Arabidopsis thaliana: one gene and its partner. The protein of the gene in region 2 interacts with the protein of the main gene of each other region in a pairwise test. Each region holds a gene or a part of one and is shown on either strand. Other genes may lie near its edges.

Region 1 (7,688 bases), 2.7 Mb from region 2:
AATAACATATTGTGTGATGGTGCAGGTGACACTTGTGAAGATGGTGAATGAAGCTACTGCGACTATCCCTAATTGGGACACTCTCTAACTCACATCCACACACAAAACACAAACCATAGGGACAAATCCATACAGCAACAATATTTTGCCTAATTTTTTTTTCCTTCTCCCTTTACTTCCCTTCTTGTCTGTTTTTTCTTGTAATGGTTAAATTATGAACTTGAGTAGTAAATTACAAAATTATTTGTTTGACACGAGACGAGACATCTTCCATAATTCCGAGAAAGAAAATAGAATTATTTTGGGTCTAGTTATTTGATTAGTTTACCAATGGATTGCGTTCAGAATTCAGAAGCAGAGACTAAAAGACACAATGCGTTAAATTAGACGGAGTTACTAATTCCGTCTATTAACCCTTTTTTTATCCATAAATTTTATTTTCCATTTAAGAAAAATAAAAAAATAAAATTGCTTAGTGGAGGATTGTGTTGTTGTTCATCTATCTTCTTCCTCCACACAGCTAGAAACAGTCTCCTCATCTTCTGAGCAAAAAAATGGAAGTGGCTCTTCTCTCCTTCTCTTCTTCCTTGTCTCCTCTCTGTCACCAGCGAATCTCAACTCTCACACCCAAAACCTCGAATTCCCCAAATTACCCTCGCCTCCCGGTCATCAGATCCGCGGTGTCTCGTAACAAGAAGGAAGAGACTGTCGAAGCCGTCAAGTCTCACTTGGAGAACTGCCATCTCCTCGCCGCCATCAACTACAAAGGCCTCACCGTCAAGCAGTTTCAAGACCTCCGGAGAACTCTCCCCGACACTACAAAGCTCATCGTCGCCAAGAACACTTTGGTCTTCAAAGCCATTGAAGGCACCAAATGGGAAGCTCTCAAGCCTTGTATGAAAGGCATGAACGCTTGGCTTTTCGTCCAGACCGATGAAATCCCTTCTGCTATCAAACCCTACCGGAGCTTCCAGAAGGAACGCAAGCTTGAAAACAATGACTTTGCCGGCGCTGTCTTCGAAGGTAAGTTCTACGCTCCTGACAATTTCAAAGTCCTCGAGACCATGCCCACTCGTGCTGAGGTCTACGCTAAGATGCTCGGTGCTCTGCAATCTCCGGCTATTAATCTCGTCACTACTTTACAAGCACCAGCAAGAGAGGTTATAATGGTGCTTATGGCTTACATTAAGAAGTTGGAAGATGAGAGTAATGCATAGTTAAGCTTGTACTAATCTTTTGGAGAATGTAATGTACGCAACAAAAGGCAATTCAATTTTTTGTTTATGACTCTCTCAAGCACCAATTGTTATTACAGTGACTGAGTTTTATTGAAATGTTGTTTTTCGGAGTGCTCTCAAGCTATCATAACGGTCTTGTTTAGATGTACTTAGAGAGGATAGATTCAACAACTCCCTGAGCTATGGGGTGATAAGTTTCTCGAGCTTCTGCAAACACCTGTTTTGCCAGCTGCTTCTCTTCTGTTCCACCAGATTGTGCAAGAGCAGTGAAGAGTGGACGCAGGTACTTCATCCTTCCTACCTCTTTTAGTGTTTTCTTCACTTCCCCATGGTACTCTCTGCACTTGGATGTGACTGCAAGTTGCAGAAACGAGACCTTCACTTCATAGTCTTTCGATTCTGCCAGTCTGTACCGCTTGTCCAAGGCCATGACCTGATTCATCAATGAGCAAAGTGGGTGTTAGCCATAGGTTTGAACCTGATCACCAATCCTTCCTTTGTTGACTAGCATTGTCATTAACAAACAAGATAAGATCCTAACTCTTGCAAAGCCAATACACTTTCCACAATCATGAACTCTCCCAAAGCCAAGAGGGTTTTTCCACAATCATTATTCACTAGCCCCACATTAATCCAAGAGTAACTATTGAGCTAACCTAACTGACAGTTAGTTAGGCCTTTTTCTCCTCCTTATGTAAGCTTATTGAGTAGTTCAACCTAAGTCAAGCCATTTCCCATTATCTTAGAGGAAGAAATAAAGATTCACTCAGCAAGTACAGCTCCAAGTACAGCTCCCATTAACTTAGAGGAAGAAAGGAGTAAAGAGTACCTGAGAAGGTTCACATGATTTAGGAAGATTCTCCAAGTACAGCTCCCATTCCTGTCCGTTCCACTCAGCAACATCATCCTCACTTGGCATCTTTCCTTCCTTAAACTCTTTCGCCAGGGATATGATCTTTGTGTAAATGGTTGAGACTGGTTCATATGCATCCTCTGGTATACCAACGCCCTCAGTCCACAGCTGTAGATTGATCTCTTTCTCTATGCCAGGGATGTTTGCTTTCAGGAATTCAAGAAATGTGTTTGTATCGATTGACTTGAACTTGAAAGTAGCAATGTATTTCTTGAGGAATTCGTCAAAAGCAGTTCTTCCAATCTGAAAGTTTTCCAGTAAATAGATGACCATTATTGTAAACATTACATAACAAAACACCTAAGCGAAGAGGGCAATTCAACTAACCTGGCGTTCAATTCGCAACACAAATTGGAATCCTTTTTCATATGGGACCTGAGAATATACATCATCTGGATCAACACCTTCTTGTTTGTTCCACAGTTTAGTGCACTCCAAGTTGTCCTTAAACCGTTCCATTTCATCAGTTAAACCCCTCCAACCAATGCCAATGTTCAAAGTAGCTATATCCGCCCCTTGAACAACCTCCACAATTCTCCTCTCTGCGTAAGTTGTAAATCCCTATTGCCATGAACATGAAATAAACACTTTCCCATCAACAAGGCAAACTCTAAAAACGGACACACAGTTACACATCCTAATTTGTAGCTAAAAGAAGCAAAAGCACAAGACAATTCAAAGCTACCTCATTCAACCAGAAGTGTTCATTGTTGATATTAGTGATCAAATTCCCAGTCCAGCTATGTGCGAGCTCGTGAGCTACAACTTGAGCTCCAGTGGCGTCTCCTTTGATAACAGTAGGCGTCAGGAAAACCATTCTTGGATTCTCCATACCTCCATAAGGAAAACTCGGAGGCAGCACCAGTAAGTCAAATCTCTCCCACTCGTAATCTCCAAACAGCTTCTCCCCTTGCTTGATCATATCCTCCGTTCCTGCAAACTCCAGAGCAGCCGCATCTAGAACTTCAATGGCGGCAGATTCTGTGTATACCCGAGTCCTAGGTCCAACTTCCCGAAACCCTAACTCACCAACGGCAAAAGCAAATAGATAAGGCGGTATAGGCTGTTCCATAGCAAACTCTTCCACAACTCTATCCTCACCACACCACAGTGACGACCCCAGCGACCCAGCCTCGAGATGTTTAGCCTCCTCAGGAACCGCAAGCCTACGACGGACGTGGCGAGCCGACATGACGGCAGAGAGCGAATTCGGTATGTTCATAACGACGTCGTAACGGATCCTCGCGGCAGGAGTGTCCTGGCATGGGAAAATGGATCTGGCGTGAATCGCTTGACACTGCGTGTAGACATAAGGATGCAATTTGGAGAAAGTTTGAAGCGGCGAAAGCCACTGGAGAGCGGAAGCAGAAGGCGAAGTGGAGTAGACAATTAGCAGTGAAGATTGACCGGAGAGGACTACGACAACTTCGGTGCCCCGAATTCGATCCGGTGTGGTGGAGACGGAGTAAGGGATAGGCTCGAGAGTGAGAGGATCGAGGACCATAGCAATGGAAATGCAGCGAGTATCAAGAGAGAGTTCGCCGGAGAAGGCGGAGGAGAGAGTGAGGAGAGCGGAGCCATGGATTATGGAGGTGTTGAAATCGAGGTAGAGGGAGAGAGCGACATGCGTGGTGAGAGGATGAGAGGAATCGGTGAAAGAGTGTGGATCAATGGGTGCCATTGCTGAGTGAGAGAAGCTTGCTTAGGGTTTTGAGGAAAGGGGCAGTTAGAGAGGTGGAGAAGAGAGTATAAAGCGGGAGAAAAAGAAAAAATGAAGAATTGTTGTTCGATGGTACCATTTTATGATGATAAATAATGTATTTTTGGAATAATTTGGTTAATGGAGAATCATTTAGTGCATAAAGTTGAAACCGTTAGATATTAAACGGCGACTAAATACAATGTTAAACCCAAGTTGGATGAACCAAAAGCACACCAAGCCACCAACAATCCTGAGATTTTTAACAACCATCTTTTTGGGCTTGAGCCTCTATTGAGCTTCAAGTTTTAGGTCCATGAGTTATACACTCACACGAGTAATCTACTTAGCAACAAACAACGAGTTTACATTTTGGTATTGGTGTCAGATTTATCGTCTCATTATTTGGTGAACTCTATTACAAGATCAAACAATCTATTTGTTTTTGCATTTGGCTCAAAAGCTACTTGGTAAAAACTTCGCCAAAAAAAAAAACTCTCAGTAAAAATTACAATTATTTTTTCCTGATGGTTTAAGTTGTTGATGACAACAAATATAAAATCTGATGGTTGACGATTACTACTATTAGGAGAGTCAATAAACGGGTTCGAGCACAAGTGCTGACGGCACCCACCCGTCAAAACCGACGAAACCAGAGAGCCCTCGAGACTCAACCCCAAATAAAATTGGAAAAAAATGAAAATAAAAATAAAAATGATGATATAAAACCCTGAAGAAGAACCTTTTTCACATTTTTCTTACAATTTTTATTCTTGCTTGCTCGTGTCTGATTTTTCCCAGCCAATTTTGATCTACCTTTCAAAAATTCCACCTTTTTCTTTCTTCTCCATGGATCTGTTCTTCTCTCCTTGATCTGGATCGACTTTACTGAGTTTCCTTCCCCCCCCCCCCCCCCCAGATATGTTCTGAGGAACTCTCTCTACTGAATTGATTGGTCTTTCACTCCCTTCTTACTCTTTGATCTCGCGACCTAAATTAATTTAGGGCTTTCTCTTTTCGGAGCTCTCATGGTTGGGAGAGTCAAGGTCCCTTGTTGTTCCGTGTGCCACACGCGGTATAATGAAGATGAGAGAGTTCCTTTATTGCTTCAATGCGGCCATGGCTTCTGCAAAGATTGTCTTTCCAAGATGTTCTCTACTTCTTCCGACACAACCCTCACTTGTCCCCGGTGTCGCCACGTGTCTGTTGTTGGGAACTCTGTTCAGGGTCTCAGGAAGAACTACGCTATGCTTGCTCTCATTCACGCCGCATCCGGCGGCGCTAACTTCGATTGCGATTACACGGATGATGAGGATGACGACGATGAAGAAGATGGTAGTGATGAAGATGGAGCTCGTGCCGCTCGTGGATTTCATGCCTCAAGCTCGATTAATAGCTTGTGTGGTCCAGTGATCGAGGTCGGAGCTCACCCGGAGATGAAGCTGGTGAGGCAGATTGGGGAAGAGAGTAGTAGTGGTGGTTTTGGAGGTGTGGAGATGTGGGATGCAACTGTTGCAGGCGGTGGTGGACGGTGTAAGCACCGTGTGGCGGTGAAAAAGATGACTTTGACGGAGGACATGGATGTTGAGTGGATGCAGGGACAGCTTGAGAGCTTGCGGAGAGCATCCATGTGGTGTAGGAATGTTTGTACTTTCCATGGGGTTGTGAAGATGGATGGATCTCTTTGTCTTTTGATGGACAGGTGCTTTGGGTCTGTTCAGTCTGAGATGCAACGCAATGAAGGCAGACTTACTTTGGAGCAGATTCTAAGGTTCCTCTTTTGCTTCTCTTATTCTTTTTTTTTGCCTAGTATCTGGCTTTTACTGTGATCGTTTCTGTGCTTAAAGTCTCAAACTTTGATAGCCTGTTCCCTAATTAGAAATTACTGGACTAGACCCGACTTGGTTTTTTGTGATTGCTATTAGAAATATATATTGTAAGTGCACAGTTTTTCAGATTCTAGTGAAACAAGCAACTAAAACCTGGTGTCATTTGCCAAAAGGGCAACTTGTAAGATAACTTTAGTTTAGATGTTCTTAAAAAGCTAGGCACGAATTATAGTAGTTGTCATCTCTCTTTGTCATTACCAGCTGCAGCTACTTTTCATCTGTCAATGCCTCAATAGACAAACATTTTTTGGACTAGTCCTTTCCTTTTTAGTAGTGGATCCTTGAACCTACGTTTGCAAGATATCTTTGAGAAAGCCCTTTACATTAGTATGCTTCCTTCTAAAGTATATGACCAGAAATCATTTTTCAACGAACTGACATATCAAATCATGCAAAAAATTGTACGAATTGTTATACATTAATTTATCAAAGGACGCATCATCTAAAGATGATCCTTATTTTGTTGTCCTGGTTCTAATATTACCTTCAATTCACTTGTTTGTATTTCCTCCTATTTTCTGTTTTTAACTGAATTGCGTCATTTGGGACTATTAAATGTAAGCACTAATGCGTAAATGAGTGTTTTGTATTCTCCTTTCATATCGTGCTCATGTTGTTTTAAGTTTACAACTTAGAATATTCCTTCAGTGACCAACATATGTATTATTCCATTGCTCTTGTTGTGATATTAAATTTTACCAACTGTAGATATGGGGCTGATGTTGCTCGAGGGGTTGCAGAACTCCATGCAGCAGGTGTTATCTGTATGAATATAAAACCTTCCAATCTTCTTTTGGATGCAAGCGGCAATGCTGTGGTTTCTGATTATGGGCTCGCTCCCATCCTAAAGAAGCCAACATGCCAGAAAACTCGACCAGAGTTTGATTCCTCAAAAGTCACTCTATACACGGACTGTGTAACACTCAGTCCACACTACACTGCCCCAGAGGCTTGGGGACCGGTGAAAAAACTTTTTTGGGAGGATGCAAGTGGTGTATCTCCAGAATCAGATGCATGGAGTTTTGGCTGTACGTTAGTAGAGATGTGCACTGGATCCACTCCGTATGTGAAGCCTCTTCCTAGTTGATATTTCAGTTGTGTTTTGTGTCTGCCATTGTACTAACTGTCACTTAATTTTACAGGTGGGATGGTCTTAGTAGAGAAGAAATTTTTCAAGCTGTTGTGAAAGCCCGAAAAGTACCACCACAGTATGAACGCATAGTGGGTGTGGGAATTCCTCGGGAATTATGGAAAATGATTGGTGAATGTCTTCAGTTTAAACCGTCGAAAAGACCAACCTTTAATGCAATGCTTGCTACATTTCTTCGTCATCTACAAGAGATACCACGTAGCCCTTCAGCAAGCCCTGATAAGTAAGAGTTTTAAGTCCCTAAGATTACTTAGTTTTATGGTTTCCCTGTTTTCGTTGCTTGTCAGTAAAGAAGACCCTTTCACTTGTGTTAAGATTAATATTAGCACCAACACCTAAGATTATTTTTGTCATCATGCCTATATTCCTTCGCCTAACAATAATATAAACCATGTATGATGTAGTGGGATTGCCAAAATATGTGAAGTAAACATTGTACAAGCACCTCGCGCGACTAACATAGGGGTCTTTCAGGATAACCCTAACAACCTACATCGGGTTGTTTTGGAGGGAGACTTTGAGGGTGTAAGGTTAGTATCTGTTAGGAATTCTAGTTAATCCTTTTGTTCGCACTAGCTATAAACAACCTGTTCTCAACTACATTGGTTTGATTTTTGTTTTGGAGTAGAAATATACTTGCAAAGGCTGCAGCTGGAGGCGGTGGAAGCTCTGTGCGATCTCTATTAGAGGCGCAAAACGCTGATGGTCAATCGGCTCTTCACTTAGCTTGCAGACGTGGCAGTGCTGAACTTGTGGAGGCTATACTGGAGTATGGGGAGGCTAATGTAGATATCGTGGA
Region 2 (7,688 bases):
CTAAGAAATAAATTTCTGAATGGATGCATCGTCTTCACCGTCTCCTTCCGAGGAAAGCTTGAAGCTTGAGCTTGATGATCTTCAGAAACAGCTGAACAAAAAGCTGAGATTCGAAGCATCCGTTTGTTCTATTCATAATCTTCTCCGTGATCACTACTCTTCTTCCTCTCCTTCTCTCCGCAAACAGGTTGGTTTTTATTCTTAGATTTTCGGATCAATAGATTCAAAATTATTCGGAATTGTTAGGGTTTATGCCTGCCTTGACGTTTACTCATTGCTTATGTCTGATGATGGGTTTAACTTTTGAGGATTGAATCAGGAATCAAATATCTTTCTTTTATTGTTTTTCTATTTCAATTGTGGAGAAAGTTCATGTTCATGTCAAAAATTTCATTTAATCCGATCTGTTTTTGTTTAGTTACCCTCTGTGACATAGTATTGATTTGATTGCCATTGCAGTTCTATATAGTTGTATCTCGTGTCGCTACGGTTCTTAAGACAAGATATACAGCTACTGGATTTTGGGTTGCTGGACTGAGTCTTTTCGAAGAGGCTGAGCGACTTGTCTCTGATGCTTCTGAGAAGAAACATTTGAAATCTTGCGTTGCTCAAGCTAAGGAGCAGTTAAGCGAAGTAGATAATCAGCCAACAGAGAGCTCACAAGGTTTGTGAAACATTTAGTTTGGCTTTTGATGGTTTTAAGTGAAATTTATCTGGAGATGATTTTTATTTCTCTTGTGAATTTTTTGCAGGTTATCTTTTTGAGGGACATCTTACGGTTGATCGTGAGCCGCCACAGCCTCAGTGGCTAGTACAGCAGAATCTCATGTCTGCTTTCGCTTCTATCGTTGGTGGTGAATCCTCTAATGGTCCTACTGAAAACACTATTGGGGAAACTGCTAACTTGATGCAAGAACTTATCAATGGTCTTGACATGATCATTCCAGATGTAATGCCTTCTCTTTTCTTCCTTACTAGTTTTAGATTATGTACTATCACACATAGCTGATATCACAAGTTTCTTCACCTAAAGATAGAGATGAAAGCAATTCTTAATCATCCGCATTCTACTCATATGTTGTTTTTTGCATATTGAGTTTCTCCACTTGGTTGTCTCACTCATCTGTATCAAGAGTGTTTAACCTCAACCTCTAATATTGTATTGGTAGCGTCTTTTTCTTAGCTTCATGATTGAAAAGTGATATATGATGTGTTCTATGCAGATACTAGATGATGGTGGACCACCAAGAGCTCCACCGGCAAGTAAAGAAGTTGTAGAGAAACTCCCAGTCATTATTTTCACCGAGGAATTGCTTAAAAAGTTTGGAGCAGAGGCAGAATGTTGCATCTGCAAGGAGAATCTAGTTATTGGCGACAAGATGCAGGAATTGCCATGCAAGCACACATTTCACCCTCCTTGCCTAAAGCCTTGGCTGGTATAAAAAAAAAAATCCCATTCTTTCAAGCTTACTAGTAAGTAAGAACATAAAGCTTATGCTCATATTGTTTTATGGCAGGACGAGCATAACTCTTGCCCTATATGCCGCCATGAATTACCAACAGACGATCAGAAATACGAAAACTGGAAAGAGAGAGAGAAAGAGGCCGAAGAAGAGAGGAAGGGCGCAGAGAATGCTGTCCGCGGAGGTGAATATATGTACGTTTAAATTTCAATCAGTTATGGCACACTCCCATTGTCTTTCCTTGAAACATCTCCGAATTGTTGTTCATCATTCACAATTATAAATCCCATTTTACATATAGATTCAATGTCTTTTGTATGAAAGCTTATAATAACAACACAGACTTCTTTACTTTACACACAATTGTATCTTGAAGAGATGACAAGTTCAATAACATAACATCAAAGAGTCATTAGTTAGATAGACTCTAGGACAGTGTTACTAACTACAATAGTTTCTTCAGTAGAATTGTAAAATGGCAAACATATCTGACCACTCCCAGACATGGAAACAATCTTCGGTTTGTCTAGCAAACCTATACAGACACTATCATACAACACATTACACACAGCAGCGTACATGATAGATTATCATATTAATTACTATATTGACAAAACGTTTTACTTAGTTTGCTTATAAGCTTAATGTGGAGGTTTGATCTTCTGCTAAGCAGTTGGAAATTCCTCCTTGATAGAGACATTGCCTGTTGGGACATCTGTCTTTTTGAAGTCTGAAGTAGGGTAAGGGTTTTTGTTGACCAATCTGCAGATAAAAAAAAGTGAATGTTATTGTTAGATGCAATATCAAGGTTAAACATTATGATCAATCTGTCTTTACAAGTCTCTCACAGGTACATTAACAAGCTCTGTATTAGTAATCAATCAAAAACTGAATAAAATAGATCAGATTTGAATTTCCATTGAAATGGAGAAGGATGAAGTGTAATTTTAAAGGCTGCATACCTGTCCCGTCTTTTCTCGAGGAATCGTTGAAGCGAATGCCTCCTTGCAATAGGTAGATCTGTTACGGCAAACATAATTGTAAGAAACTAATGAGAGTATCCATTTTCAAGGTTTGAAGATTACTATAACCAGTTGAATCGAATACTTACCAGCCGTGGATCTGCAAAACGAGATTGGCTGAATAGGAAATGGCTGTGCAGCTGGTGATGCCACATTAGATGTGCTTGAGAAAGAAGGAGCTCTGTTCAGTGCTGGCGATGAGACAGGACTGATGCTTGTAGAATTCTTTGTCTCCATTGCTTTAGCAGCAATACGAAGGATTTCTTGAACCTATAGGCATAGATCACAGTGAGAACAGAAATTCTGAAGTTTTTCTGACAACAACAAAGCTCTAATGGACCAACCTTTTCTGATGGAAGTCCATCAAACACAGTAACACTTCCACCAAAGAAAATAGTAAGTTGATTTGGAGGAACCGTTGGCTCAGCGGTTTGAATCTCCGTGGACCTTCAATAGCAGAAGATCTATTAAACTTGTGACCGACACTATAAAGATGGACTTATTGATGCAACATTAAGAAAACTCTCCACATATGAATCCAGTCTCTCCAATTTCACATGTTAACGGTGAAGTTCTATTAATCAAATTCACATGAAAACTTATGTATGCATTAAAGGACTTTGAAAAACACAAGTTTGTTAAGAATCCAATTGTTCCAGCCAAAAAACAAATTGGTTCCATTGAGAAATATGACTTTCCCTAAATAGAAACTAAAGTAACCAGATCGAAATGCTGATCTTCCTTATCAGAAACAAGATACAATTTTAAGTACTAAACTCAAAGCAAAGAGAGAAACAGATAAAAACATGTGAAATCAACAGTAAACACAGCTCATACCTAACTTCGTTAATCGATTTCTCAACAGATCCGGTACCGCCGATCTCAGCCGCGCCGCCGTCACCGTCGGCAACACCACATCCACCTTCAACGGAAGCGCGTGGCTCATCTTTCACCTTAGTCATGGCTTGTCTCTCAAAATTTGTAGATCTGTCTTTTTCCGATGAGAATTTTGATACTTCTCTCCCTTAGAGTACTTTTGTTTCGCTTCGTCTCTACGTCGTTCAGACCGGGAACCTCCGAGATTTATCCTTCTCAGAAGCTCCTGTAATTTGACACCTGGCGATAGATATTGATTTTTATTGTTTGACTTTTGGTGCTACGACAGTAAAAGACAACAAGAGGGTAATTAGAAACGTGCTCGAATATGATACGGTGTCGTTGGCCTTCTATGTGGGACATGCTTTCTCATTTCGGTTATCCGGAACTCCAAACGTGTATAATTTATAAGTGGCTGAGACGTTAAACTAATTGAGTTTGCTGGACCTTGATTCATTGGGCTCTTAAAGTACTGTTGGGCTTAGTCGTCTTAAAATGACTTCTAAAATGGACCTTGACTGCTTACATTTATAATGTTTCTCTTTCTATTTTATAAGCCTCTTTACATTTATAGTTTTTTTTAGTAACAATATTCGCATACAAATCACGAATTAATTTATTTCTGTTTTTGTATTCGACCGCTAAATCATCACCAAATTCAAATTTGTATATGGAACATTTTTTTTTTTCCTCTATATAATCAAACAAAATGCAAAATTGTCGAAACTATAAAATTTACTTCTTAATGTAACTTATAACTTTTTGGTTAAGGGTTAATCTAAACTTTTTAGTTTTTACTGAAGGGCGCATAAGAAATCTGGGAAATACGAGGGTAGTTTGGTCTTTACGAGTTTCATTTAGGGTTCCGAAAGATCTGGGTTTTGGCTCTCTCCTCTCATTTTCTACTCTTCTTCAAAAGCACACTCAATATTTCGAGATCCTCTCGGCTTGTTCGTTCTTCGTGAACGATCCCATCTATTGTTTCTCGCTAGTCTCAGATTCGACTAACTTGGATATCTCCGATACTGAAGAAGCCTCCTTCTTCTTTTTCCGCTCTTCCCGATGCCGGTAATGTTCCTCCGTCGTCTCTTTCAATCCTTTTGCTTTTCCCCAGTGCTCTCCGTTAACTGAACTTAGCTATTTCGTATTTAGATCGATAAGATCTTCAAAGATGATGCTAGTGAAGAGAAGGGAGAACGTGCGAGGATGGTGAGTCTTTTGAATCGATTAGGATTTAGGGTTTTTCAGATTCACTCTTCTACTGTTTAAATCTGATTTTCTTTTCTTTTGTTGTTGCTCTTTTAGGCATCATTTGTTGGTGCAATGGCTATCAGTGATCTGGTTAAGTCTACTTTAGGGCCAAAGGGCATGGTAATTTCCGATCTCTGAATATTTAGAAAGCTACAAACTTTCAATTTGGTTCTATTGATTATTGTTGAATCCTTTTTATTATTGTTTAGGATAAAATCTTGCAATCTACTGGTAGAGGTCATGCGGTCACTGTTACTAACGATGGTGCTACTATTCTCAAGTCACTTCACATAGACAACCCTGCAGCTAAAGTTCTTGTTGGTATGTAATTTCCCTGCGACATTCTGGCATGAAGTTTTCACATTCGTTTTTTCTTAGTTGGGTTTTCTCTCACAGTTCGTTGTATCTGGTTTGTTCTTCAGACATCTCGAAAGTTCAAGATGATGAGGTTGGTGATGGAACTACCTCTGTTGTTGTCTTGGCCGGCGAGCTTCTGAGGGAAGCAGAAAAGCTTGTGGCTTCTAAGATTCACCCTATGACCATCATAGCAGGTACACTTTTGGAGCTTTAAGTGTTAAGATGTCAACTTTGTATCAGCTTCTCTCACTATGGCAATGATTTCTAATTTTTTCGTTTTCTGGTTTCTTAGGTTACAGAATGGCTTCGGAATGTGCTCGTAATGCTTTACTGAAAAGAGTCATTGATAACAAGGACAATGCAGGTAATCATTATAGAGATGGTTAAACCTTGTTATGCTGACATATTTAAGTATAGCATTTTCTTGTTTGTGTGATTACTTCGACTGTTGGGTTCAAGCGGTGATTTCCTTTCAGTTGAATACAGAACGGAAATCACACTGTTATTTTACAGCATTGTATTTTTGTCAATGCAGAGAAGTTTAGGTCAGACTTGTTGAAGATTGCGATGACTACTTTATGTTCCAAAATTCTCTCACAGGACAAGGAACATTTTGCAGAAATGGCCGTGGATGCTGTTTTCAGGCTAAAGGTTCCATTTCTTCCTCCTTTTGAAACTGATTCAGCAATGTCATGTGTTCCTTCCTTCTTTTTCTCTTGATTTATGTGTTATCTCATGAAAGAAGATCTTCCTTTGACGAAATGTCATGAAATTAGGCTATTATCATTTCACCATTAGTCTTTCCCATAGTTGCATCGTTTCGTTTTGGATTGTTATATGATTTTTTTCTGACATTCTGCTTTTATCGTTCAACAGGGAAGCACAAACTTGGAAGCTATTCAGATCATCAAAAAACCTGGAGGGTCTCTGAAGGATTCGTTTTTGGATGAAGGGTAAGACAACACTTTGTGCCTTTGGCGTCAGTTCAAATTCAGTTTTCTGAGCTATTGATCTTTCTTTAGTATTCATCTGTTCATGGTAACTCTGTCGTGTTTCTTTTCTTCTTCATAGCTTACGCACCTTAATTTCATTTATAGTGTTATTTTGGAATGTTGATAGTCATCATGTCATCTTGTTGTGTTGTGTTTCTTCTTCTATCGAGTAATATGGTCTCATGTCACCTCAACTTAAAATCTATGCCTGTAGGTTTATTCTTGACAAGAAAATAGGAATTGGGCAGCCTAAGCGCATAGAGAATGCAAATATCTTAGTAGCTAATACTGCTATGGATACCGATAAAGTGAAGATTTACGGTGCACGTGTCCGTGTGGATTCCATGACCAAGGTTGCTGAGATTGAAGGGGCTGAGAAGGAAAAAATGAAAGACAAGGTGAAGAAGATCATAGGCCACGGAATCAACTGCTTTGTTAACAGGCAGTTGATCTACAATTTCCCTGAGGAACTCTTTGCTGATGCTGGTATACTTGCTATTGAGCATGCTGACTTTGAGGGAATAGAGCGTCTTGGTTTGGTTACTGGTGGTGAAATTGCTTCGACCTTTGACAACCCAGAGTCTGTTAAGCTTGGGCATTGCAAGCTTATAGAAGAAATCATGATTGGTGAAGACAAGTTGATTCATTTCTCTGGTTGTGAAATGGGCCAGGCTTGTTCAATTGTCCTAAGAGGGGCCAGGTATCCATTTTCACTCCCATTACTTGAAAGACTTCGTCTAAACTTTATTCTGTTTCTAATTCACTAATCAATTTTTGTATGGGTTCTTTTTTCTTGCAGTCACCATGTCCTAGATGAGGCTGAAAGATCACTCCATGATGCCTTATGTGTACTCTCTCAAACAGTGAATGATACTAGAGTTTTGCTTGGAGGTGGATGGCCAGAGATGGTGATGGCAAAGGAAGTAGATGAGCTTGCAAGGAAAACTGCTGGCAAAAAATCTCATGCCATTGAAGCTTTCTCACGTGCTCTAGTTGCTATACCGACAACAATCGCTGACAACGCTGGTTTAGACAGTGCCGAATTGGTTGCTCAGCTTCGTGCAGAGCACCACACTGAAGGGTGTAACGCTGGGATCGACGTCATCACTGGAGCTGTAAGTAAACTTTATAAACATTAGGATTCGCCATTGAATGTGCAAGGCTAGACTTGAATTGTGATGATGATGATTGATTGTTTACAGGTAGGAGATATGGAAGAGAGAGGAATCTATGAAGCATTCAAAGTGAAGCAAGCGGTTCTGCTTTCAGCCACAGAAGCATCTGAGATGATATTGCGAGTGGATGAAATCATTACATGTGCTCCTAGGAGGAGAGAAGACAGGATGTGAAAAACTCAACACAAACACATGAACGTGGTGGGAGCCTAGAGATTCCATGATTGTGTTTTCGATTTGGATCAGAATACAACTTTTCTAATATGTTTAATGTTTTGCTCCTCCTTAGAACTCATCTTTTTGTTTTGTTTCCTTTTAATCTTGTTTTGAGTTTGAATTTAGACGTTTGAAAAAAGTGTTAGCTCCAAAGTTTTTAATTTGTTTGGTTGTGACGTTGTGTCTTCTGTTTCTACCTGCATCCCATTTTGGCATTTTCACTGAGATGGTTCTGATATAATAGGGATGTGTGGAAAAGAAAAACGAAGTACCAAAACGTAAGTTATTTGGATACCAAAGGAAAACTTGAAGGATCCCATTTCTGAAAAAATCGTA

Evidence for each region. Proteins that work in one complex are often made in the same cells at the same time.
Region 1: the proteins of JAZ12 (region 2) and KEG interact in a two-hybrid assay, tested with the Arabidopsis thaliana proteins (one study listed by BioGRID).

What each region holds. Positions count from the first base shown.
Region 1 is NC_003076.8:4,340,740-4,348,427, forward strand, and holds the start of KEG (protein kinases;ubiquitin-protein ligase), read left to right. Parts: upstream 1-4,462; 5' UTR 4,463-4,878; coding exon 4,879-5,621; intron 5,622-6,447; coding exon 6,448-6,801; intron 6,802-6,881; coding exon 6,882-7,112; intron 7,113-7,293; coding exon 7,294-7,419; intron 7,420-7,517; coding exon 7,518-7,688. Other genes in the region: AT5G13500 (Hyp O-arabinosyltransferase-like protein), read left to right, coding at 26-88; EMB3136 (Ribosomal protein L10 family protein), read left to right, coding at 555-1,217; AT5G13520 (peptidase M1 family protein), read right to left, coding at 1,378-1,671, 2,068-2,394, 2,479-2,712, 2,837-3,832. UniProt on the Arabidopsis thaliana protein: Mediates E2-dependent protein ubiquitination. Acts as a negative regulator of abscisic acid signaling. Required for ABI5 degradation, by mediating its ubiquitination.
Region 2 is NC_003076.8:7,086,642-7,094,329, reverse strand, and holds JAZ12 (jasmonate-zim-domain protein 12), read right to left. Parts: upstream 3,627-7,688; 5' UTR 3,448-3,626; coding exon 3,323-3,447; intron 2,933-3,322; coding exon 2,830-2,932; intron 2,756-2,829; coding exon 2,575-2,755; intron 2,484-2,574; coding exon 2,426-2,483; intron 2,416-2,425; exon of another isoform or gene 2,226-2,415; coding exon 2,129-2,225; 3' UTR 1,791-2,128; downstream 1-1,790. Other genes in the region: AIP2 (RING/U-box superfamily protein), read left to right, coding at 20-187, 460-664, 753-949, 1,224-1,436, 1,518-1,667; AT5G20890 (TCP-1/cpn60 chaperonin family protein), read left to right, coding at 4,424-4,429, 4,514-4,570, 4,667-4,732, 4,822-4,933, 5,035-5,163, 5,262-5,333, 5,505-5,620, 5,846-5,922 and 3 more. UniProt on the Arabidopsis thaliana protein: Repressor of jasmonate responses.